7 linked regions of the Kluyveromyces lactis genome follow. The protein of the gene in region 6 interacts with the protein of the main gene of each other region in a pairwise test. Links are inferred from orthologs where the notes say so. Each region holds a gene or a part of one and is shown on either strand. Other genes may lie near its edges.

What was found.
Region 1: the proteins of KLLA0_E14257g (region 6) and MAK5 interact in binary tests that used the Saccharomyces cerevisiae proteins (3 or more experiments, as listed by UniProt). The link is inferred for Kluyveromyces lactis from reciprocal best matches to the Saccharomyces cerevisiae genes LOC1 and MAK5.
Region 2: the proteins of KLLA0_E14257g (region 6) and PRP43 interact in binary tests that used the Saccharomyces cerevisiae proteins (3 or more experiments, as listed by UniProt). The link is inferred for Kluyveromyces lactis from reciprocal best matches to the Saccharomyces cerevisiae genes LOC1 and PRP43.
Region 3: the proteins of KLLA0_E14257g (region 6) and FPR3 interact in binary tests that used the Saccharomyces cerevisiae proteins (3 or more experiments, as listed by UniProt). The link is inferred for Kluyveromyces lactis from reciprocal best matches to the Saccharomyces cerevisiae genes LOC1 and FPR3.
Region 4: the proteins of KLLA0_E14257g (region 6) and MAK21 interact in binary tests that used the Saccharomyces cerevisiae proteins (3 or more experiments, as listed by UniProt). The link is inferred for Kluyveromyces lactis from reciprocal best matches to the Saccharomyces cerevisiae genes LOC1 and MAK21.
Region 5: the proteins of KLLA0_E14257g (region 6) and NUG1 interact in binary tests that used the Saccharomyces cerevisiae proteins (3 or more experiments, as listed by UniProt). The link is inferred for Kluyveromyces lactis from reciprocal best matches to the Saccharomyces cerevisiae genes LOC1 and NUG1.
Region 7: the proteins of KLLA0_E14257g (region 6) and NOP53 interact in binary tests that used the Saccharomyces cerevisiae proteins (3 or more experiments, as listed by UniProt). The link is inferred for Kluyveromyces lactis from reciprocal best matches to the Saccharomyces cerevisiae genes LOC1 and NOP53.

Annotation. Positions count from the first base shown.
Region 1 is NC_006039.1:966,658-970,870, forward strand, and holds MAK5 (ATP-dependent RNA helicase), read right to left. Parts: upstream 2,801-4,213; coding exon 410-2,800; downstream 1-409. Other genes in the region: SUP45 (translation termination factor eRF1), read left to right, coding at 1-183; BMT2 (25S rRNA (adenine2142-N1)-methyltransferase), read left to right, coding at 3,132-4,196. UniProt on the Saccharomyces cerevisiae protein: ATP-binding RNA helicase involved in the biogenesis of 60S ribosomal subunits and is required for the normal formation of 25S and 5.8S rRNAs. Required for the maintenance of dsRNA killer plasmid.
Region 2 is NC_006038.1:40,901-45,083, reverse strand, and holds PRP43 (DEAH-box ATP-dependent RNA helicase PRP43), read right to left. Parts: upstream 2,801-4,183; coding exon 497-2,800; downstream 1-496. Other genes in the region: KLLA0_B00583g (protein kinase subunit beta), read left to right, coding at 1-265; protein kinase COQ8, read left to right, coding at 3,347-4,183. UniProt on the Saccharomyces cerevisiae protein: Pre-mRNA processing factor involved in disassembly of spliceosomes after the release of mature mRNA.
Region 3 is NC_006038.1:421,074-424,109, forward strand, and holds FPR3 (peptidylprolyl isomerase FPR3), read right to left. Parts: upstream 1,758-3,036; coding exon 501-1,757; downstream 1-500. Other genes in the region: RPL6A (60S ribosomal protein eL6), read right to left, coding at 2,333-2,851. UniProt on the Saccharomyces cerevisiae protein: Proline isomerase that belongs to an abundant class of enzymes that catalyze the cis-trans isomerization of X-Pro peptide bonds and can accelerate the refolding of proline-containing polypeptides. Specifically binds nuclear localization sequences.
Region 4 is NC_006041.1:1,108,069-1,112,022, forward strand, and holds the start of MAK21 (RNA-binding ribosome biosynthesis protein MAK21), read right to left. Parts: upstream 2,801-3,954; coding exon 1-2,800.
Region 5 is NC_006040.1:1,173,577-1,177,039, forward strand, and holds NUG1 (RNA-binding GTPase NUG1), read right to left. Parts: upstream 2,094-3,463; coding exon 501-2,093; downstream 1-500. Other genes in the region: PAC2 (Pac2p), read right to left, coding at 1-125; SUA7 (transcription factor TFIIB), read left to right, coding at 3,025-3,463. UniProt on the Saccharomyces cerevisiae protein: GTPase required for 60S ribosomal subunit export to the cytoplasm.
Region 6 is NC_006041.1:1,262,119-1,264,373, forward strand, and holds KLLA0_E14257g (Loc1p), read right to left. Parts: upstream 1,125-2,255; coding exon 501-1,124; downstream 1-500. UniProt on the Saccharomyces cerevisiae protein: Required for efficient assembly and nuclear export of the 60S ribosomal subunit. Involved in asymmetric localization of ASH1 mRNA.
Region 7 is NC_006042.1:1,055,269-1,058,260, reverse strand, and holds NOP53 (Nop53p), read left to right. Parts: upstream 1-1,157; coding exon 1,158-2,492; downstream 2,493-2,992. Other genes in the region: HPR1 (Hpr1p), read left to right, coding at 1-734; ATP-binding cassette long-chain fatty acid transporter PXA1, read right to left, coding at 2,733-2,992. UniProt on the Saccharomyces cerevisiae protein: Late-acting factor in the nuclear maturation of 60S ribosomal subunits, which is required for normal acquisition of export competence. Required for the export of the large subunit.

The sequences.
Region 1 (4,213 bases), on a different chromosome or scaffold from region 6:
AACTACGGTGCCAATCTAGAATTCATTACCGATAAATCCTCTGAAGGTGCTCAATTCGTTACTGGTTTCGGTGGTATTGGTGCGCTACTTCGTTATAAAGTCAACTTCGAACAATTGATGGAAGATTCAGATGATGAATATTATGATGAAAATGAAGATGATGATGACTACGATTTCATTTAAACCTCTTCAGTCAAGCGATGTATAAATAGTGTTTATAAATATATATCTTTCTTTTCATTCTTTTCTTTATCATAAGTATCACCAAGATATATTTGATTAAGTTGTATTTGCAAGACATTACATATTTTTCATGCAATTCAAACATTCTTCACACTCCGACAACGACTGTTGTATTGGGAATATATATGTTTTCCTATTTTTATTTCTCTATAGCAGATAAAGGGCTTCATTTATGCTTCTTGCCCTTGAGTGTTTGCAATGCATCCACTTTATCATGTCCAATAATGGAATTGTGACCTTTATGTTTGACTAAAGTGTCAGCGAGATTGGTCAGACCTCCTGTTAGATAGCTTTTTCTTAAATCTTTTCTTAGTGGCATTTTTAATAACTCGTTGAGCTGGTATTTTAGAGCCTTATTTTCATTCTTTTCCAACTGTTTATTCAACTTTTTGGTTTTGTTTCTAGCTAAAAATTGGTCCTTTTCCTCTTCTTCTGAATCTAATTCAATATCCAATTCTTCAGCAGCCTTTTTTAACCAATTATCATCCTTATGTAGTGATTTCGTTGCTATCTCATCATCAGCAAGTTCGCTCGCTATCTTGCTTCTTTCTCTCAGCTGAGAAACGATGTCAGGCTCAAGTGGTAACATTGGGACATCATTCTGCCATTTTGTTTTCCTGGGGTTACTACTCTTCTTGGTAGATAACACCTTTCTGAGCTTTCTTAAAGGTCCCATGGATTCCTGTGGTGAACAAATCATGACAGAAACACCTTCATTATCACCACGGGCTGTTCTTCCACTTCTGTGGATATATACGTCAGCACTGCGGGGTAAGTGATAGTGTAAAACATGTTTGATACCCGAGATGTCCAATCCTCTAGCAGCGACGTCACTAGCAATTAAAATTGTTGGTTTTCCTACCTTGCTATTTTTCTCTGATTGTTCTTTGAACTTTTCAAGGTTCCTAAGACGATTTTTTTGAGCCATTGATGAATGGATCTGGAATGACGAAATCTTTAGATTGTTTAAAAATGCATTCAACTTTTTGACGCTATCTATAGCGTTACAAAATACTAAAGTTGTGCCAGGATACATCATGATAAAGTAGTAGACATATAAGTCACGCTCCATTGGCAAACATTCTATCAGGGATTCTTTGACCTGAGATGTAACTTTATGTTCAGGATTAGTATCGATAATAACTGGCTTAGATTTGAATTGAATTTTCTTCATCAAATGATTTAAAACTTGTTCCATTTCATTGTTCTCCCCACCGGCTGTTTTAAGGATTTTCCATGAAGTTTTATCTAATTTCGTGAAAAGATCCAATGAAAATGTGGCAGAGAAAATCATTGTTTGCCATCCACTTCCAGTTGGCTTTCCGTCGATACTTGTTTTAATTTTTCGGGCTTTCCCTAATAACTTCAAAATTTTCTCGAATTCATCGAAATGTCCGTCTTGTAGTAGTCTGTCTGCCTCATCAAGAACTAAAGTGTCAATTTTGGCAAACCTAGGAATCAGATCTGGGTTCCTTTCTAATAATTCCAAAAATCTACCAGGAGTTGCCACAATGATTCTACCAGAACCATCATATTTTAAGATACGTTCTTGTTTCTGAATCGACAAACCACCTGTTAGTGAAAGAATCGTGTACTTGTTAAGCTTATTCATTTTCGTCCAAACCTTTTGCAAATGGTCAGTTACTTGATGGGCCAATTCTCTAGTTGGGGTAAATATCAAGCCGATAGACCTATCATTTGATGTGTCTTTAATTAATTGTTCAATGATAGGAATACCATATGCTAAAGTCTTACCGGAACCTGTGCTAGCCTTACCCATGATATTATGTCCTTTCAGAGCTAAAGGAATAGATTTCAATTGAATTTCTGTAGGCCTGGTGAAGCCAAGCCCAGAGAGTCCTTTCAGCACTGTGAATGAGAGATCCATATTTTCGGACCACTCAGGAAGTACTGGAGGCTCTTGATCATCGATATCGACGTTAGAGGAAAATACGTTGCTCTGTAATAAGTCATCATTTGTTTGATCTTCAGTGACAACAGTACCTGCTTCCCCCTTAACATTTTCCTTCTCGGATCTTTCTTCTTCTTGATCTTCTGCTTCTTCTCCCTCTTCTCCTTCTTCTTCAGTGGACACATGGAACTCGCTCTCTTCATCATCCGAAGCTGCACTTAACTCACCCTCCTTGATATCGTCAAAATTCTTGAATTCAATTAATTCATCCATGTTGACATCTTCATCATCCTCTTGGAAAACGATATTATCCTTTTCCTCCACTTGCTCCGGCTCTTTCTTAACGTTCTTGTTATCTTTCGTGATGAACTGGACTTTACCGTCGACAACTTTCACATCCACACCATCGATTTCTTCTAATCCGTAGAAACCACCGAAATCATCTAAAGTATCTGGAATATCAACACTCTTCCAATTCAACTCATTAGCATTAACAGTGATATCTGTAGTGGCTACTTTCTTAAGGCTATTCTTATTAACCTTCTTCTTTGAATGATTCTTTGAAATACGGTCTTTCCTATCACTTTTAACAGGCTTCAAGTTCTTGCGATTCTTATTCGCCATTTTTGAAACACCGTATACCATTATTATTTCTGTCCTTTTCTTATACAGAATGAGGTCGACAACAATTAATTACCGAGAAACTTATTGTTCATGCACACGTATGCTGGTATCTCTTCTATCTCATCTCATCTCATCTCTTGGAGCTTCTTTCTCAAGATTTTCTAGAAAGTCGAAAAGAAACGATTCTATTTATGTTACCCGGATATGTCTTAAAAACTGTCCAACTCTTACATAACCGTCTGGTAAACATGATGGTATTGAAGCGAGATGAGCATCTCTCAACAAAACAGGTAAGGGCCACTCGGGTTATAACCCTCAACTTATACGTGAAAAATCTTATTACGTTGTTCCAATGCTCTCTCGAAGAAAGAGGACCATAACTGGAAAACCTGTTGCGAAACATGTACCGAAGATCAAACCTTCCAAGGCCAGGAAGATAATTAGACGTTTCCATCTATTGATTCAGAAGAGAAGAGTGATATGCAACAAGCTGCGATGTGATATAGTAGAAAACGATGAAGAGGCCAACGCTATTAATATTGAGAATTTTTTCCGAAAGAATAAAACTTTACAGGAAGATTTTAATAAGGGCAAAAAGTCTAGACGACCAAATCCAAGATTAGAGGAATTACTTGTTCATGTGCAAAGCATTGAACACAGTCAGCAATTATGTCAAATTCTTGGTTATATATGTGGAGAAATTGAAGAAGATGGCGGTTTGCAGAATTACCAATTTGCTAGTACAGTTGGTCAGGATTCCAACAGAGGTGGTGATTCATCTAAACAATTGGTAAAGTGGTGCAAAGAACTCGGGGTGGATAAAGCTCTGGGTATGAATGCGTTGGAATTGGGATCCCTTAGTGCGAAAAATCATATTTCTGTGTGTGGTCTCTTTAATCCCGTTGTTAGGATTGATCTTAACTCAAATGATACTGTAAATATTGAAAGGCAGGATTTCATGAAAAGACCATTACCAAAGGATGAATCGCAGAGATTTGACCTGATATCATGCTCACTTGTATTGAATTTCGTGCCGACACCCCTTCAAAGAGGCCAAATGATACTTCGATTCAAACAGTTTCTGAAATGTAACAAGAAAACGTATTTGTTTCTAGTTATACCTCTACCTTGCTTGACGAACTCAAGATACATGACTAAAGACAGATTCAATGAAATCATGCATGCGCTAGGGTATAGAAAAATAAGATTTAAAGAAGCAAAGAAGGTGGCTTATTGGCTTTACGAACTCGAACAATCTGAAAACACAATGTGTTCCTCACAAAATATGAACCAATTCGCCAAAAAAGCAAAATTATTGGACAAACCAGGCATGAACAACTTTTCAATTACATTTCCAAACAGGCAACCTTCCCATCAAGGCATTTATACAACGACCAAGCCCCTGTTCTCTAGGTAATAACGGCGGTATCTATG
Region 2 (4,183 bases), on a different chromosome or scaffold from region 6:
CCAGCAACAGAACAATCAACAAAATATGTCATGGTTAACTCCTCCACAACTTCCACCTCAGTTGGAGAATGTTATTCTCAATAATTACAACAAAAATGCTGAACCAGGTAGTGAAAATAATTCAGGTGCGTTGCCAATTCCTAACCACGTCGTTCTTAATCATTTAGCAACGTCTTCTATTAAACATAATACTTTATGTGTTGCTAGCATCGTTAGATACAAAAGAAAATATGCAACACAGATACTATATGCGCCATTGCAATGAAACCACTCCTAGAGATTTGATTTTATATTTTTTACACTGAAATATCATAAGCGAAGTTCTTATGGGTTGAATATAAAACGTACACCATACCGAATTTCAATAAAATGCAGCAAAAAAAACGTAGACTTTGAGTCGCGTGCTAATAATACCGCACAATACTTCTACAATAAGACTTATCATGCTGATTCTAAGGTTAATCTTATTATATAAGTTACACATCTATATGCTTGGTTATTTCTTAGACTTTTTAGATTTCGCACTTTTTTTTTTTTCTTGTTGTAGCTCCACCATTTTATCGAGCTTTTGCTTTACCCTTTCTAACGATAGTTTAATGTCACCTTTTTGGAAGTGATCGAGGTCATAATAAGCTGGTGCTAATTCTATTAACCATTCAGGTCTAACTGATGTTACAGTTCTAATGTAGTTTTTGGAGGTTAGAACGAATTCATTGTATACAACCCATTCGGCATCATGGCCCAAAACAGTTGAAGGATGTATCAAAACATCTTGGTTATCTTTGACTGTGATATAACCTTTTCCGCCAGATCGTTTTTTTGCGACCTGCATAAAGAAGCCTGCAGCTAACGCTTTTCTAATGTTATCGAAATATCTAGGGGAGTCATAATCTGTAGTGTTCAACTCGAGATTGTAACGAACCATCAACCTTTCCAATTGGTTGCGGATGTTGTCAGCAGCAGATAGAGATCTATAATTTAAAAAGTTGTCGCGGCACCACTTGTTGATCCCGTACTCATAAGCTTCGTCTGACTTGAATGCATGGTAGACATTCAATAATGTTAGGTGGTCGCCATCAGGATGTGCAAATATGTTCTTTGCGTCATCTGATCTTTTCTTATCTTTCGAAGGACGAATGAAAACACTAGGTACGGATAACATGGCGACAATCGTTAGCATCTCTTCGGAACAAGAAAATTCGGGGGATCCAATCAACATTACCGCAAGCATTGGATCAAGAGGGAATTGAGAAGCCAATCTACCCAAAGGTGTTAAATTACCATCGTCATCTAAACATGCCAAAAAGTTTAATTCTTCTAAGGCTCTCATCATAGTTTCTGGGGCAGGAGGGTCCATGAAATCGAAATGCACCAAATCGTCAATGCCTAGTTTCTTTAGTTCTAAGACTGTCGAAGAAAGATTACTACGGAGAATTTCAGGATATGATTGCTCGATAAGTTCCTTTTTGAAAGCTTCTTCAGTATATAGTCTGAAACACTTACCAGGTCTGGTACGACCAGCTCTACCAGCTCTTTGTTGAGCTGATGCCTTTGAAATTGGAGAGACCAAAAGGGATTCAACTCTAATTCTTGGGTTGTAAACTTTTTGCTTAGAGAAACCAGGATCAACAACATACACAATACCGTCAATAGTCAAAGAGGTTTCTGCAATATTAGTAGATACAATGACTTTTCTACCAGGTCTTCCATTATGGGATTCAGGAGCAGGTTCAAAAATGCGCTGTTGTTGATGTGGAGGCAAAGAACCGTATAATGGATATACAGAGATAGGACCACAACCTTGCTCTCTAATTAACTGATCCCCTTCTAATGATATTTTCCTTACAGCATCTTCAATCTCATCTTCACCGGTTAAGAATAACAAAATGTCACCCTTCTCCTCCGTAGCATGGATCTGTAAAACAGTTCTTATAGCACTATCCAAATAATCTCTTTGGAATTCTGGTGTATAGTAGATCTCCACTGGATGTGTCCTACCAGGGACAGCTAAAAGTGGCGCCTTATTAAAGTATCTTTGGAATTTCTCAGCATCTAAAGTAGCAGACATGATAATAATCTTCAAATCAGGTCTACGATCAATAACCTGTTTCAAAAGACCCATCAAGATATCTGTTGCCAAAGTACGTTCGTGTGCTTCATCTAAAATGATACAAGAGTAACGTTTCAAGTCATGGTCTTCCATGGCTTCTCTTAACAACATACCATCAGTCATATATTTCAAGATAGTTTTATTAGAGGTCTTATTTTCGAATCTAATGGAATAACCAACTTCTTCGCCTAGTTTGACGTCCATTTCTTCAGCAACTCTCTGTGCCACAGACATGGCAGCAACCCTACGAGGCTGCGTACAAGCAACTTGAGTATTTTGTAAATGTGGCATTTCATCGAACAGCACAAATTGAGGAATTTGAGTGGTCTTACCGGAACCCGTTTCACCAACAAAAACCATGATCTGGTTTTCTTGATAGATCTTCAAGAATTCATCTCTTTGAGCGTGCACTGGCAAGTCTCTTCTTACCTTTAGAATACCGAAATATTTCTCTGATAGTGAGCCACCAGTGAATGGATTAACTGATCCATTTTCCAATCTTTCGGCATCGGCCGCAGTAGTGTGATGGCGTTGCATCCCGCTGAACTCACCAGAATCATGATGAATTAAAGGCTCTGCTGCTGGTGGAGGGTGATCTTTGGTTAATTTTTCTGCGATTTCAGCTGCATGCTCCGGAATAGAAGTCTCAACAGCAGACACATGCTCGTTTGAAAACCTTCTTTTGCCCATCGTCAATTACTCAACGTTTGATGTTTTGCAACTGGTAATGCGAATAATCTCTAACGGAGTAAACCAAACTCAGCAGTAGTATCTAATATTCAGGGGATTTTATAACCACTTAACCTACTATCTCTAGTATTGAACTACACTAGATGAGATGAGATGAGATGAGCTTAATGTTACAATTTGCATTAAAATTTTTAAAAAAGAAAAAACTACACGTCCATATGTCAAAATCGCAATTCCATCATTACCCGGATAACAAAGGTTAGAATGGCAAGAGCAAGCAAGCAAACAAGCATCTATTTGAAATTCAAAAGATGGATTATTCTGCAAGATATCTGTACGATTCGACTCTCTCATGAAATAAGGAAAGGTAATAAAGTAAAGACAGAGTCTTAATCCATTCTTATTACGCTGTATATTCATGAATTTGACCATTGACTCGTAGTATCATTGGATAGATCAAATACTTTCACCCTTTATTTTTGATCTTGTGATATCTGATAGTTCTTCGGCTGAATTAATTGATATCGAGAAGTATCGCTGTATTCAATGTCGAGAAAAGGGCTATATCAAGCTATCTGTTTATCAGAGTCCTTCTGCAACGTGGTAAAAAATTCTGCCTCGATTGGTAGACAGTCTCTTGATATTTGGCTAAAAACTTCCACTTTGACAAGACCGGTACTGTCTAAATTTCAATGGTTTTACGACAAGGACTGGGAACATGCCCGTAAACTTTCTGAATCCGTCAGAAAATCTACGAAAGGGCACTCTTCTAAAAAAGCACACCTTAGCAAGTGCTCAGTCAAGAACAAAAAAAATGTGAGACATTTTTCATCTTATCACAGGTGTTCTAATAAAGCAGCTGACGCTATTCCAGAGGATAAATTGGTGAACAAACAAAAGGCTAATAAACTGGAAAGTTCAGAAGTCCCTTCATCACGTATCTCTCGGCTTTTTCATTACGGCCACCTAGCTGCTAGTGTGGGTATTTCTGCTGCATCTCAAAGTATCACTCAGCTGAGTCGTGGCCAATCATCAAGTTTTAAAGATTTACTGTTATCAGATTCTAATGTTGAAAGGATTGCAAATAAATTCTCTCAAATGAGAGGAGCAGCATTAAAGTTGGGCCAACTAATGTCATTCCAGGATGAGAAGGTTTTACCTCCGCAATTATACACGATACTTTCAAGAGTTCAGAACAGTGCTAATTATATGCCTCCAAGACAGTTGGACAGGCTACTGGCTAGAGAATTGAGTTCTGATTGGGAAAAGAAATTCAAGAGTTTCGACAGGACTCCTATCGCTGCAGCAAGCATTGGTCAAGTTCATAATGCTGTTTTGCACAACGGCGAGGAATGTGTCGTGAAGATACAATATCCAGGAGTC
Region 3 (3,036 bases), on a different chromosome or scaffold from region 6:
GATTAACTATGTGCACAATTGGAGCGGGTTTTTTGTTCCCTTCCTTTATTGTTTTTGTTTGCTGTTTTAATCTTCAGCGGCTAGCTCACAAAAATTTCCTGTTTCAGAATAGAATTATTACAAATTGCACGCAAAACGGTAGTTATAGTCTCTTTCAATTAACCTTCAGTTCACTAATCGCCTTAACAGGTTGCAGTCAATAAGGATGTAAATCAGAATGTCCGTAAATTATTGTTGTTTGACCAACTTCTGGTGTCTTCGTCCTTTCCTTCTCCTTAAAATGTGGTTTGTTTTAGGGCTAGTTTAGTTTCAAGTTCGTTGAGATTTTATAAAAAATGAGAAGTAAGCCTATCTAAGATATCAAAACCAAGAAATTTGTGAGTGAGAGCATTTTCTCCATTGGGAACGTCAACTGTCACCTTTCAGAATGTTATTTTTTTGATTTAAAGTAAGTATTTATGAAGGAGTAATATGTATGCCGATTATATATCCTTTTCCATTTATTTCAAAGAGACCAACTTAACGTCGAAAGTCAATTCGGAGTTAGCTGGAATACCTGGAAGAGCTTGTTTACCGTACGCATATGGAGCAGGGATGACGATTCTACGTTCACCACCGACGGCCATACCGGCAACACCGATATCCCAACCTTTGATGACTTCACCACGGCCCAAGTTGAAAACGAATGGTTTACCGCTGGTGTTCTTGTCAAAGACCTTACCATTCTTTAGCTTACCAATGTATCTCATACCGACCTTGGAGCCCTTCTTGCAAGCCTTACCCTTACCAGTGACACGGTCTTCGATGATGATACCACCTTCAAGCACCTTGGTCTTTGGCTTTTCTTTCTTTTCTTCCTTCTTTTCTTCTTTCTTGGTTGGTCCTTCTTCTAGGTCTTTCTTGAATTCAACCTTCTTTTCTTTCTTAGCCTTCTTGTTCTTTTTAGTTTCTTCAACTAGCTTTTGTTCCTCTTCCTCTTCCTCTTCCTCTTCCTCTTCCTCTTCTGGTTCTGGTTGCTTTCTCTTGTTGTTCTTCTTAGACTTAGATTGTTCTTTTTCGACAAGCTCTTGGATCTTAGCTTCAACGTCGCTAGCATCTTCTAACTCTTCCAGATCAGCTTCTTCATCCGGGGTTAGATAGTCGTCTTCATCTTCATCGTAGCTTTCATCGTCTTCTTCATCGTCATCTTCGTCATCGTAACCTGGTGCATCGAATGGGTGCTTGACATAGTTACCGGTTAGAGAAACACGGTAAGAACCAGTAACAATGAATTGAACTTCTTCTTCTGGAGCAATTACAATATCCAAAGATTGTTGATATTGAGTCTTTGGTGACAAAGTCGCTAGGACGAATTCTTGGAATTCGTCATCGGTGTCAATTTCGATAAGTTCTTCATCGCCTTCATCTTCATCTTCCTCTTCCTCTTCCTCTTCCTCTTCTTGCTTCTTGGACTTACCCTTACCCTTACCCTTCTTAGACTTTGACTTTTCCTCCTCTTCTTCTTCCTCTTCGGAAATGTCTAATTCATCTTCGTCGTAATCACCCAACAAACCACCAGCATCATCTTCATCGTCGTAGTCTGGGTTTCTCTTGATAATTCTCAAAGTAGATGGGTTCTTCTCATCATCCAAAGCTTCTGGATCGATAGCAGCCATGGTGATACGCACGGTAACAGGCGTGGTAACATCAATGGCCGGGGTTGGAGTGTATGGCTCGATGTTCAAATTGTAAGCAGCTAAAGGTAATAGGTCAGACATTGTTATGCTATTCAGTTAGAATGAGAGTTTTCTTAATCTGTGGGTATATGTCTACAAAAAAATATACGAACTAAACCTCTATGAAAAAGGTTCTTCCACTCAAGAAGACTCTACCTAATGTAATTCATCTCATCTCATCTCTCTTATATGGCGTCCATCTCTTATTTCTTTCACAACCTTAACTATTCCAAATTCTGAAAATTTTCCAAAAGAAACGAACTTTATGTAGAGAAGATTCGACGTTTCTTTTCTGCACGTGATGAGTTTTATCGACCTCCGCTTAGGGTACAAGACATATTGAAATACATCGTTCGAAAGGGTCGTCAGACAGGGTACACACGTTGGTTATAGTGTTAACTGGTGTGTCTGCAAAACAGTCATGAATATATAGCAGAGACTCTTAGGCAAAAGTAGTTCAAACCAATTGTTACAATCAATTGTCCTTATAGAATAAGGTTGTGGGGATGACGACGTTGCAAACACTAGAAAGGGATTTAATACACCCTTAAGATATAAAAGTTATGTTAATATTATATAACAAAGTAGCTTAAAGTTTTGAATTGTTTTTCGCTTTCTTAGAATTTCAACAAGTGAGGTCTGTCACCGTTCTTCAAAGAGAAAGTAGCAGCCAAGTATTGCTTCAACAATGGGGTCTTCTTGATTTCAGCCAACAAAGCCTTATCGATGTTCTTTTGGTCTTCGATTCTTTCAGCCTTGATTTCCTTCTTTGGTTGGTCTTCGTTGAAGAAGTTGGCTTCAGCTCTTTGCTTTCTTGACAACTTTTCTCTGGAGAAGTAAGCGACGTTGAACTTTTCAGTGTTAACACCTTCCAAGGAGACTCTGGTAGAGGTAGCAATGACGTAACGAGCGTTGACTCTTCTCAATGGAACACCGTTAACCTTGAATGGACCGGAAACCAACAAGGTGTTGTCTTCCAAGTGCTTCAAGTAGACAACTCTCTTACCTCTGAAACGACCAGCCAACAAAATCAAGACGGTACCTGGGACCAAGGAGGCACGCAACTTTTGTGGTCTAGCGGCCTTTCTGGTTTGCTTTGGAGCTGGGACTTCTTCAGCTGGATACCACTTTTGAGCCTGTATTGAAAATTGAATTGAAAAATTCGTTGTTAGTAAAACTGAAAACAATATTTTATCGAGTTATGCCCGTGTATAGAGAAGGAAACCCACAGTTTCAATTCCATTATCTCACATGAGTTCGGCTGTATGTAACAAAACTAAGAGTAATGGATGAAAACATGTTAACTTCTTCTCCATAAAAT
Region 4 (3,954 bases), about 150 kb from region 6:
GATCGAAGTCACTGATGTCTTCTGGTTCACCTTCTTCAGCTTCAAGATCAGCTTCTGATGCCTCATCTTCGTCTCCCGAAGATGCAAGGTCTTTGAGATCAATATCGACATCTTCGGATGACGATCCGAAATCATCCTGTGAGAAATCGTCCTCACTGAACTCAACATCGCTGTCCTCTTCGTCACCTTCGACGTCAGGTCTTGACTTCACTAAAGCATCCCAAATTTCATCTTCGTCCAAATCGCTTTCCTCGTCGAATTCAGCTGTACCGTTTTCATCCTCTGCACCTGACTTGGTAGATTTGATGGCATTAGTCTTTGTAGAGAAATATTGATAGAAGAACTTTTCATCTGGCTTGATATCTTGCACCTTCTTACTTAACCAGTTCTCCGTGTTAGCAGGTACTTCGTGCAATGTGGTATCGCTGGCCTTCACTAATAACGAACCAGTGTGTACACCTCCCAAAGGTTGCATGATAGATGAACCTCTAGTGGTTGGCTTTTGCTTGGCGTTACGGTACACGAATCTATCCAAGAAATGGGCTAACGTGAATAGGCCAAGATCGGGTTTGACTAACTCTCTTGTTTCTTGAGTGTCACCGTCGAAGAACCCTTGTGCGTACGACTGCACAGTAGGATGGAAATGGGACAAGAATTGATTTATCTCCCAAAGCGATGAATTTTCAGCGTTGGCATATTTTGGATCACGTTTACGGCTATCGTAACCAGGTTTTTCCTTAGTTTTATCCCTGGAATCTTCGTCATCAGATTCGTAAACAGAGTCTAGTGGTGAGTTGATTAGAACATTTCTGATCTGCGGTAAACTCTTTGAAAGTTGTATCAACAAAAAGAACATACCACTAATGGCACCGATGTTCAACCAATGGGCACAGACTTGCAATATACGTTTTACGAAAGCATCCACTCTTCCAATGTCTTTATCATCTTTCAAAGATTTGTAAAGCAAGTTTAAGTAAATACCTTGCTTCGATGACGACACCAATCTTGGGTCGAGTAGGGATTCGTATAATGTCTTGTAATATCTATCACTTGTGATGTTTGTCTTCACGACAACCTGGTGAATCAATACTAATGCTTGAATTGAAGTGTTGAAATTAGACGCATGTGTTATCTTGAACAATGTATCAAGATGTATCTCGTACACGGATCCCGGCATATCAGAGAATGGGAAAGCACGATTCAAACCAGTTAGAATAGCACCGAATAATTTGGTATTTTTTTCCTCGATAACTTCTTGAGCACTTTTTTCTTCAATGACAGACTTACCACCCTTTTTACCCTTCTTGAAGTTCTTCTTTCTCTTCTTTTCATATGACTTATCGGATTCCTTGATTTCACTCTTTGATTCCTCGTTATCAGCATCAGTTTGGATTAAGAATTTCTCGAATAAAGTGAAATAGGTCTTGATTAGCTGATTTGCTAGATTCTTCTCGGAGCGTTTCAAAATTGTTTGATTAAGTGTCAATGCGGAATAGTATGTAGTATGATAGTCAGCTTGAGGCCTTATGGCAATATCGACAACAGCGTCTACCACAATTGATTTCATATTTGGATGTTGAGTTTCAAGTTTCAAAAGTTTGAAGGAAGCCTTTGACGCTACTTTGTTATCAATGTCACCTAATTTGTTAACACCAAGTTTCAACAAGTTGAATTCCTGTTCTGGTTTGGCTGTTAGCAGGTCAAAGATATGTGTTAGCACTTGCATTCTGACATAGATGATAGGATCATGGGATAATTTCTCAAAGATTTCCAAAATCTTGAAATATAGACCCTTCAAGTAATCCTCAAAATATAAAATAGCTAAAGTTCTCTTATTCAGTAGCATGGAAAGGTTTTGGTTCTTGAAGTATTTTAACTTGCGGTCAGGTAACAGACCATTTAAGAACAAATCCTTCAGAGCATTCAAAGCTTGTAATGCGGAATTTCTTGACTTCTTCCCGCAAAAGGATATCAAAGAATCAAGAGATTTGATATTATGCAATGGAGATTCCTGTAGCAATAAAGTCAAAGCACTAATTTTATCGTTCAACGTACCATCGCTTAAGATCTGGGACATAAACTTACGTTGAGATGAGTTCTTGGTAAATTCTTCGTAGTAATTAGTGTTATCTAATTCTAAGGCCTCTTTACCACGCTGGTATAACTTATCTATCTGTTCTTTCGTTAGCGGATCCTGTTCTCTTGTTAATTCAGGGTCCAAAGGAACTTCGTACCACAACAAATCTGATGGAACAAGTAATTTATCACTTTGAACAATATGAGTTTGAGTGATCATGTCGGATTGATCTTCCTTTTTTTTTTCTGCTGGTTTAGGACTAAGTGGTTCCTCCTCTTTCTCTACCGTCTCTTCTTCTTCTTCTTCTTCAACTTCTACCTCCTCCTCTTCAATATCTTTCTCTTCTTTGCCTGCATCCTCAGTAACTGTTGGTTCTTCTACAACTTCAGGTTCAGGTAGTTTATCGAATCCCATATTCTTCAATAAAGCACTGAAATCGCTCTTAAACTCGTCATCAACTTCTTCATCGGCTTCATTGAATTCAATCTCACTGGCATCGTCGTCAACACCATCAACAAGCTGGACATCTTTTTCAGAGGCTCCAAGAGACAGAGCTTCACGGATCAATTCTTCATTGGTGACAGCAGTTTCCTCTTTAGCTGGAGTAACGTCTGTCTCTTTTTCGCCCTGCTTCTTACTCTTCTTAGGCTTAGTGTCTTTGGCCTTTGAAGCTCCCAATTTGGAGGACACTTTCTCCTTCAATTTGGATAAATCAAGACTCATTCCAGATTTGCACTTGTTATCGAGTGTTGCTTCTTTCCAAGCAATAGATCAATCAAACGACAAACAGAGAAGTGGCCTCTGTGTATATCAACAAACACAGTCTGAGCGCATAATAAGAGTTGAGATGAGATGAGATGAGATGAGATGAGATGAGCTTGATTTTGGTGTAAAGGTAGAAAATTTTTGTCGTTTCTTTTCATCACGTGATTAACGATTATCCGGGTAATGAGTTTGTCTCTCTCGTTTAGTATTTACAAAAGCATTCTATGTAGTAGTGAGACCAAGAAGCGGGGAATCTGCTTGTCACATGGTTTGCCGAGAGCGTTACGAGCCAATGGACATGCTCAGGAGTAGGTAAAGCGTGAAAGTAAGTTGAATCAAAAGTTGCACAATGTATGTACTTCCCTCAAGTATCCGCCTCTCTGCATTGGAATTTCTTTACTGGAATCAATCCCAATTAAAGAATGTTTTTTGGGACCTCGCCATTACCCGCACAAACGACGTGCATGGTGGAAGCCAATGGTGCCATTAGTTGCCAATGGTGCATGCATCAATAAGCATTGACACACATACATATACATTCTTGGGGCAGAAATAGACGTGCATTTGCATGAATTGATTGGAAACTCATGGTTTCAGATGCACCAGCTCGAGGTGAACAAGGTAAGTTACGTATTGAGAACAACTCTTGGTAAAGGAATACTTCTACTATACTTCTTCTTCTTTTCATTGTGCATACAAGAGAAGAGGTTCAAGTCGAGTTGATTACCTCGAAATACAAGGTGTAGTTTTAGAGGGACATTAGGGTCATAGATACGAACCCATTGACCTGCCTAAAAATAACTCAAACTTGTACATTTCAAAAGTTGAATAAGACAAACGAGATTTTCTTTCTAAGTAGCGATAGCGAAGAATATCTATATATTCGTAAGACAATGACAATTGGTATCCTAATGAATGGACAAAGGAAACGTATAAAAAAATAACTGCAATGGCATTTGTCTTTGTGTTTTTTCTGATTTTCATCATCATTTCACTGAAATGAAAATAAAAATAGAGTGCTAATGGTAATAATGGCGTGATAAAAGTAATAAGATGATAAAGCTGATCCTTATGATATGGGAACAATGATGGCAATTGACGGGGAAGATAAA
Region 5 (3,463 bases), on a different chromosome or scaffold from region 6:
CTTTGCTTGTTGTCCCACTCTAAACCATATGCAACGATATTAGGCCATTCTGGCAATGATCCGATGTATCGTACTGTGCAAAACTCACCTCCTATATTCAATCTATCATTGACATTGATCTGCATATTTGGCCCTAGATTTAGTCACGCTGTACACATAGTGTAGCCTGGAGTTCGTATGGTAGACTCACGGATTATTTCTCTTCTTCACTCTTTTAAACATTTTGATTTTAGTAGGCATTTAAAGTATTATTTAAAGGTTTGTTACCTAAAGAAAAGAGATGACAAAAACGTCTTGCCGAAGAAGATATTAAATCATTTATATGTAGTAGTGTACAAATGTGTATTGTCTATTAGGTGCGTGGACTGAAACGGGTGTTCAAATTCACATCCTAATACATAAGCTTTTAAATCTATAGCTTTAACGATGCGAAATAAAATAAGCAATAGGATCCTTGATCGTATTTCATAGAGATGCAGAATAATTCGTTTTCTGTGTTCTCAATTACCTAAGTTGTCTTGTTCAGCTTCAATGGCGTTATCCAATGACGCGAAAAGACCATCCAAATCGAATTCCTTGGACCATTCTTGAACAATGGTCGTTTGTTCCACCTTAGCTGGTGCTGCGACAGCACCAGTACCTAGAGTTGGTTGGTTAGCTTCACCAGATGTAGCAGCATGTTCTGCAGCAGATTCCTTAGAAGCATTGGGTAGAACCCATCCTAGGATCTTACCATCTCTCCAATCGTTAAGAACGGATATACCAGCGCTGGCCAAGTTTGGAACACCGCCCTTACCTAATCTACCTCTCTTACGGGCGATATGGATCAAGAATTGTTTGGTGAAAGAGTCTGCATCGGCAGCTGGGATAGGTGGTAATTCGTACAACTTCTTGAAACTTTCAGTCATTTCTTCAGATTTAGAAAGTCTCTTCACTAATTTGAGCACAGCTGGGTAAGGATCTATGATGAATTTTGGAGGTAGAGCGTTCAACAAGGCCAACTCTGCTTCTTGTTCCACTCTACTCATCTTTTTATTTTCACTTGGGAAACAAATACCTGGAGAATCCAAGATCTTTAGCTTGTTATCTACCTTGACTTCTCTCATAGATGTAGTGACACCAGCTTGGTTACCCACTGGACATGCTTTAGAAGAACCACCACGGCGAGAGGTCAATGCGTTAATGACAGACGACTTACCGACGTTTGGATAACCGATGACACCAACAACGATGGATCTCTTCAAGTTTGAATTATTGGAGTAAGTCTTCAAAGCTTCTAACAAGCTTGAAGCAGTTGTAGCCTGAGTCAAAGTCCTGTTGAAAGATGTGGAGTTAGTGGCACCAGGAGCAGCTCTCAATGGAATAGTAGGGAACGAGGATTTCAAAAAGGTTAACCATTGTTGCAACACGTATGGTGGCACTAAATCGATCTTGTTCAAGATCAAAATTAGTCTCTTACCCTGGGATTGAAGCACGGCCTGTTCCACTCTTCTCGATCTAGTTCCTTCTGGATCTCTTGCATCTAGCACGTAAAGGATAACATCGGACGCATCCACCACAGTCTTGAATATCTTATCGTAAGCCTTTCTAGACTTTTCTAATTCAGAATCATCATCATCTGCGTCAGCGTAAAAGTCTACGTCGTATTCAGCAACCTCTAAATCCTCTTGCTCTCCATTCATTGTATCATCGATACCTTCCCCATTGTACTCCTTTGCAGCTTGCTGAGCGGATTCTAACAAAGCAGAAAGACCATTGTTGCCGTCGTTTTCATCTTCATCCATAGATTCATCGTCATCACCAACATCTTCACCTAGTTCACGAGTTCTTCTCTTAGCCTCTAACCTTTCCTGCTTTCTACGTTCTTTCTCCTCCAAATCAGTTCTTCTCTTCGCTTCAATCTCTTCGATGATCCTGTTCTTGTACGGGAAATTGGCCGGAATACCTGGATCCTTACTCTTATTGGATTTCCATGTCACATCCTTCTTAGCAAGTTTCCGCTCTTTCCTATGTTGAGCAGCAGCCTTCTTCTTGATACCCTCCTTCATACGAGTGGAAGTTCTCTTGGAAGTTCTCTTTCTTACTCTCACCATCTCTTTTGATTAATGGAAAAAGGTATATTTACTGCACTGGATTATAGATATCTTAGCTGTTCCGGTGAACTTATCACGGAAAACAGTACTGAAACATCTACTTGAACAGGTGTTCTGTAAATATCAAGTCTCATCTCATCTCATCTCATCTCATCGCAGGTTTTAACATATTTCGAAGAGCTGAAAAATTTCAAAGTAGAAAAGAATTTCTTTTTGCTGGCGGACGACAGTGGAAACACAGTGGATACTCGTCAATTACGAGGCAATCTTATGCTACTCGCAAGCCATAATTTGTGTCAATAATATTTGGGACGTATTTGGTATATCTATGAGCACTTCCAGGCAGATATTTAACATTATATATACAGTAATACCGTCAAGGGCAGTGAAACTGTCAGTACATATAAAGGCAGCCCAGTAGCCGTTGCGCAGTTTTTTTTGACACTAGCAGGGAACAAAAATCATCTCAGTAATAAGAACTGATATAACGTGATATACGATACGAAGTTGCGAGGGTGGAACTTGTTTTACCACATCTCTCATCCTCTCTACTTCCAGTCAGTGTAGTAATAACTGCGAAGTTATTACTTGTTACCCGGATCTCGTGAAAATTTTCATCAACCGTAAACAAGAGACATGCCACGGTTGTTTCTGTGGCGTTTATCACGTGATATATATTTCCGTCGAGTTTCCAGCATTTTTGCTTAGAAATTGAGAAACTAAAATGATAAGGAGCTATCCAGTTGCAACTTACACAGTCTTGTCCGTCTACTAGTTGGTTAATCGGTATTTCTTCTGTTCTTTTATAACAAAAGCAGCGCCTAAGTTTAGTTATCTTAGCGGCTCATCATTCGACTTCTTACCGTTCAGTTTCCAGCTATTTTTTTAGGCTGTTCTGAGTCATATACCGAGGCAAGAGAAAAGAGAAACTATGTCATTGCCAGCAGCAGCTTCAGCAAATGTAGCTGTCTCATCTAGAAGGAGGGGGCCAAATTTGAACATTGTTATATCGTGTCCCGAATGTAAAGTTTATCCTCCGAAAGTTGTGGAACGGTTTAGTGAAGGTGATATCGTCTGTGCATTATGTGGGTTAGTCTTATCGGATAGAATTGTGGATACCAGGTCAGAATGGCGTACTTTTAGCAATGACGATCAGAATGGAGACGATCCAAGTCGTGTTGGTGAAGCTTCAAATCCTTTGTTGGATGGAAACCATTTAACCACACGTATCGGGCAGGCCCAGGGAAGTGATGCTAGAGTTACTAGGGATTTGAATAGGGCTCAGTCGAAATCTATCGTTGACAAGAAGGATAACGAGTTGCAAGCTGCATATGCGAAGATTACTATGATGTGTGATGCTGCAGAACTGC
Region 6 (2,255 bases):
GAAGGGATGAGTTTTTGACCGTTGCTTTACCAGAATACTAGATGAACTCAGAATAGTTAAGTCACGTAAAAAAAAATGGTGCTTGTGTTTACCAGCTGAAAGCATCTTGTCAATAACGGTATCTGGCAGAGCAGCGTCAGTTTTCTTTTTTTTTTTTTTTATCATCTGGCTTCAGAATCGTAAGAATGTCCCACTTTTCAATCTGCATTGTATGGAAGTCCCCAACAACGTTGAAATGTCTCTGTTCTCTCATCATCAACAATGACTAGAAAATAGAAGACCGACATGGCAGCCGGATACACACATGCGCCCTCATATCCGAATCTTTGAACAGCTGCTGACACCAAAATTGTGTTGAGGCTGAAACGCTGATTAACTCCAGTTGTTACAGTAACGGTAATCTAATGTTTTTAATATGTTTAGTCACATGATCGATGCTAAAAGGTTATCGATTCCTCCATTTACATACACACATATGCATATATAAATTGATGTATTAACTATGCAAAGCTGACAGATTTCTTCTTCTTGATAGGTTCAGACTGAGCTGCTAATGTCTCTTGTTTCAGTTCTTGCCTTTTGGTTTTCCTACGAATAGTTCTGGCAACGGATGCCTTCTTCTTGATTTCATCTTTCTTACCCTCTAGTTGTTCCTTCTTTTCGGTTTCTTTTCTTTCCATTTCTTGTCTCTTTAGATCACGAATTTCTTCGAGTCTCCTTGTCTTCTCTAATTTGCTCTCTGTTATTTCATCATTTTTATCACCTATCGTTTTGATTAATCTGTTTAACGCTATTAAATCATGATCACCGATGAACTTCTTCCCCTTTTTACCCTTTTTGATTTTTACACCAGGTACAATCGCTCTATTAAGTGTTGGAATATTTAATTCTTTCTCGGTATAGCGTCTTTCCTTCTTCTTCTGGCTACCATATAGACGTGCTTTGAAATTATCCTTCTTCACCTGTAACTTGGTTGGTTTCTTGGTATCAGATTTTTCAGTCATTTTAGGCACGTTTGCCATTTGATTTTTGGCAATAGAGTCCTCGAATACTTCTGATCTTACTTCCCTCGTTCCATTTTGTTTCTTGGATCTCTTAGCCGTTTTTGATTGTTTGGGAGCCATCTTTCAAGTTCGATGGATTGTTATGCGTCAAGGATTTTTCTTCTATAAGTCTGATTATTGTAAATTCAGACTTGTCTCGCGGTTTAACTAGTAGACAGCGTACCCAGAGGTATAAATTCAAGTCCAGTTGTGCTTTTGTAGTAGTTGTGATAGTGTTCTACCAAAGCGATGAGATGAGCTCAATTCATCATCGAAAAGTTTTATTTTTATTTCTTTTCGCTTGGTAACACTTTATTTCTTGAATTCCTGCATGTCAATGTGAAAAAATAGAATAAACAATTAAAATAAAATAGAATAAATTAAATTAGATAAAAAAATATAAAAAAATATAATAATGATAGAAAATGAATAAATGATCAGAAACAATAAGATGATACAGAGTACACAACTCACGACTAGTATAAGGTAATATAGGTACACTGTGCTGGAGTTTAAATGTCAGATATCCGAATGATATTAGTTTTTCTTTCAATTGTCTTTTTAAGTATAGTAATAATAATGATAATCCATATAGTTATGTTGTATATTAAACAAGACAGTAGTGAACAAAGTGATGTATATATATCACGTGCAAATAAAATATAATTTCAAATTAGTTTTAATTCTTCTTTTATTTTTCTAGAGAAAATATCTATTAATTTTCTCATAATAGAAATAAATAAATTTTTACTTTTTTTATAATTATCTATTTAATTTAAATAAAACTTAATTCAATTTATTTTAAAATATTGTATAGTTTTACTATTCCGAAAAATAAATATATTTTCTGTTTCAATAGGAAATTAATAATAAATATTAAAAAATTAAGCCGGGAAGAAGGTAGTGGAGATGTTATTGTATGGAGTTGTGAGAGAACTTCTAAGGTGTCATTTTTTTTTCAGAAGCAGTAAATATACTACTGGAGCCGCTATGAACTAGGATCTATACGATAGCATATTGTTATTGATCAACAAATCCCGAAAATATATAAATAGAGTTTTCTTCATCGAATTCTTCCATTCGAATTTGACGATATATCTATCATTGTTCTACATTTATATGTATGTTAGACGGCATATACCAAGAAGAATATCGAAGAAGAACCAAAGAACATCATAAATAGTTTACATAACACATGCGAAGCTCTTAATT
Region 7 (2,992 bases), on a different chromosome or scaffold from region 6:
TTAAACTCGGCAATAAGAAATTAGACGGTCTATGGAAAGTGCAATCAGGCTTAGATTTAGCGAGAAAGTATTCAGAAAACAATAGACAAGATCCCTCAGAACTATATGACACTATAATATCCGAATACAAGGATAAAACTGAAAAAACTGATGGTGATGAAACCACTACTGATAATGTCATAGTAAAACAATGGCAGAATCTAAGATCTTTGAGGCCGAAATACTTGTTTGAGTTTAATAAGGTCAGCGAAAAAACTACTCTGGCGGGGTTCGCCAATGAAGAACTCATTAGGAATGATATCGAATCTAAGAAAAGACGGCTAGCCGAAAGAATAGAGTCAAAAAAGAAGAAACATTCCGAACAAGTCGCCGAGGCTGAACAGTTTTTCAAAGACAAGGAACAAGAAAGGAAAGATCTACTTCAAGCGAAGATAAAAAGTCAAAGAGAAACTCTGGAAAATGGAAAAAATGATAAAACAACTTCGCCTGATGATCAAGATAATGATTCACTAAAGAGAAGACACGATAGTCCAGAGGCTGACGGGAATGAAGAAGAACAAGCTGTTTCGAAGAAACAAAAACTTGAGGAAGAAGTTGAAGAACCAGATGCTGACGCTGAGGCTCAAAAGGAAAAAGCGCTTGAATCTGAACCAACAGAGCTTAAAACAATAGAAAGTACAGAAACAGAAGTAGAGGTGCCGAAAGAACATGAAGGAAGCTCCCACACGGAGTAGGCTAACAATACAGTAATATTTTTTCAGACATCCGTTCAAATATATAGCATATAATTCGATTGAAGAATCATTTATTTTATCAATTACAGATGTTACTTATCAATATCACACGATTCTAGACTATTCCTCTCCTAATTGACATTCGACAGCTATCTCCTTGTCTATTATGAATCGATATCCTTTACTTTGCTTCGAAAGTGAATGTTACCCGGAGAATAATCATATTTCTTTTTTTTTATGTCAATTTTTCATTTAGACAATCCGATGCCAATAAGATGAAAAAAAAAAAAAGAGATGAGATGCGATGCGATGAGATGAATTCAAGTACACAATTAATACTCGGGGACTGGCGTATCGTTTTACTAATCCTTACCATACTATTCAGGACAATCCACCTCAAACAAACAGACAAAATAGTTAGTTATGGCGGGATCTAAGGACAGACCAGCTCAGTACAAACAATCTTCTCGTAAAGGTAAGAAGGCATGGAGAAAGAATATTGATATAAGCGATGTGGAACGCAAGCTCGAAGAGAAGCAGATCCTTGAGACTACTCATGGTAAGCAGAATTTGACAGAACTTAGCGATGATGCGCTTTTTGCGGTTGATACTGAGGGTGACCAAGTTTTAAAGCAGAAATTAGTGAAGAGGAAAGCAATCAAGAAAACTCTGAAGTCAACCGAGATTTTGGAGTCTATCAAGTCTAAATCCAAAGTGCCTGCTCTAACCAACCCAAAGACTGCTAACAAGAAACATGATAAGATCCAAGGGGTATCAAAGAAAGAACTGGACAGATTACTTGCTTTAGCTGGTAAAAAAATTGGTGAAAGTAAGTTGAAAGCAAGAGTTGCAAAAGAAGGTCTTGTGAAGTCAGGATCCCTTGATTTATGGGGCGAAGATGCTGGTAAGGAGGTTAAAGTACCATCTGGACTGAAGCTTAAGATAGCACCAGAAGAAGTAGAGAAACTTCCAAATGGATTCTTAAAACAGTCTACAACTAGTTGGTCCGTCGCAACTGTTAAGCCGGATTCCATTGCTCGCGTGCCAGAAATTGTCAAAGAAAGAGATGTCATTCCACATGCAGGAAAGTCATATAATCCAAGCAAAGAAGAATGGGAGGCTCTTATAAGTACTGAATATGAGGGTGAGCTGATAAATGAACAGCGCAGGATAGCTTTAGAACAATATAAACAACGAATTCAACACTTGATGGATACTATTGAAGATAAGGAGGAAGAGGACTCCGATTCAGAAGAAGAAAATGAATCAGAACTTGATGATAAAGACCTTTCAGAAGAGGGAGAAGAGACTAAGTTGTCTCTGAATCCAGCAACTAAGAATAAAAAGAAAACGAAATATCAGAGAAATAAACAAAGAAGACACGAAGAAAAAGTCAAACTTCAGCAAGAATTAAAGAAATTGAAGGAAAAGGTTCTCAAACTTGAAAAATTAGAGGAAATTCAGCAGGAAGTGGAATCCACCGTCCCAAATCCGGTCTCTACAGCCGGAAAAGTTAAAAAGAACAAGAAGCATAAGCTTGGTACTAAACATTCCGTCATGGAAGACAATTTAGAGGTGAAATTCTCAGATGAACTATCAGATTCATTAAGAAAATTAAGACCAGAAGGTAATCTGCTATATGACACTGTGAGAGCATTACAAAGTTCTGGTAGGGTAGAATCTCGTATCCCTATTAGAAAAGGTAGAAGATATAAACCAAGAGTCACTGAGAAATGGACTTACAAGGACTTCAAATAGATTAATTTGCTCTTTTCTTTCTATACATCATTCCGTACCATTTGTACAATAAAATACACAGACGTACCTGTGCTTTTCTTGCATAATTTATATAGAGCAAAATATTAATAGATTCATTAACTCTGTGATTATATTATATAATAGTAATGAATACAATATCCGACACTTTTACTACTGATTGAACTACACACCAAGAATAGTTCATTTGACTTGGCAGATTTAAATTTTCAAACCAATTTTTCACACCAATGTCAACTTTGCCTGTAGTTCATCTCTCTGCCTTTCCCATTCTTTTACCTTTGTTAGCTTTTGGTTTAGGGTTTCAATCTCATTTTCGATTGATAAAATAGCTTCGTCTGACCCTAATGCCTGTAGGCTCCAATCAGTTCCGTTAGTCAATTCCAATAGGTAGTCATGGTATTTTATCAAAGACGGGCGTTGAGAGATGGATATGAAGTTGAATCTGTATCTCTTCAACATGGTAAAAAGATGATCTTCCA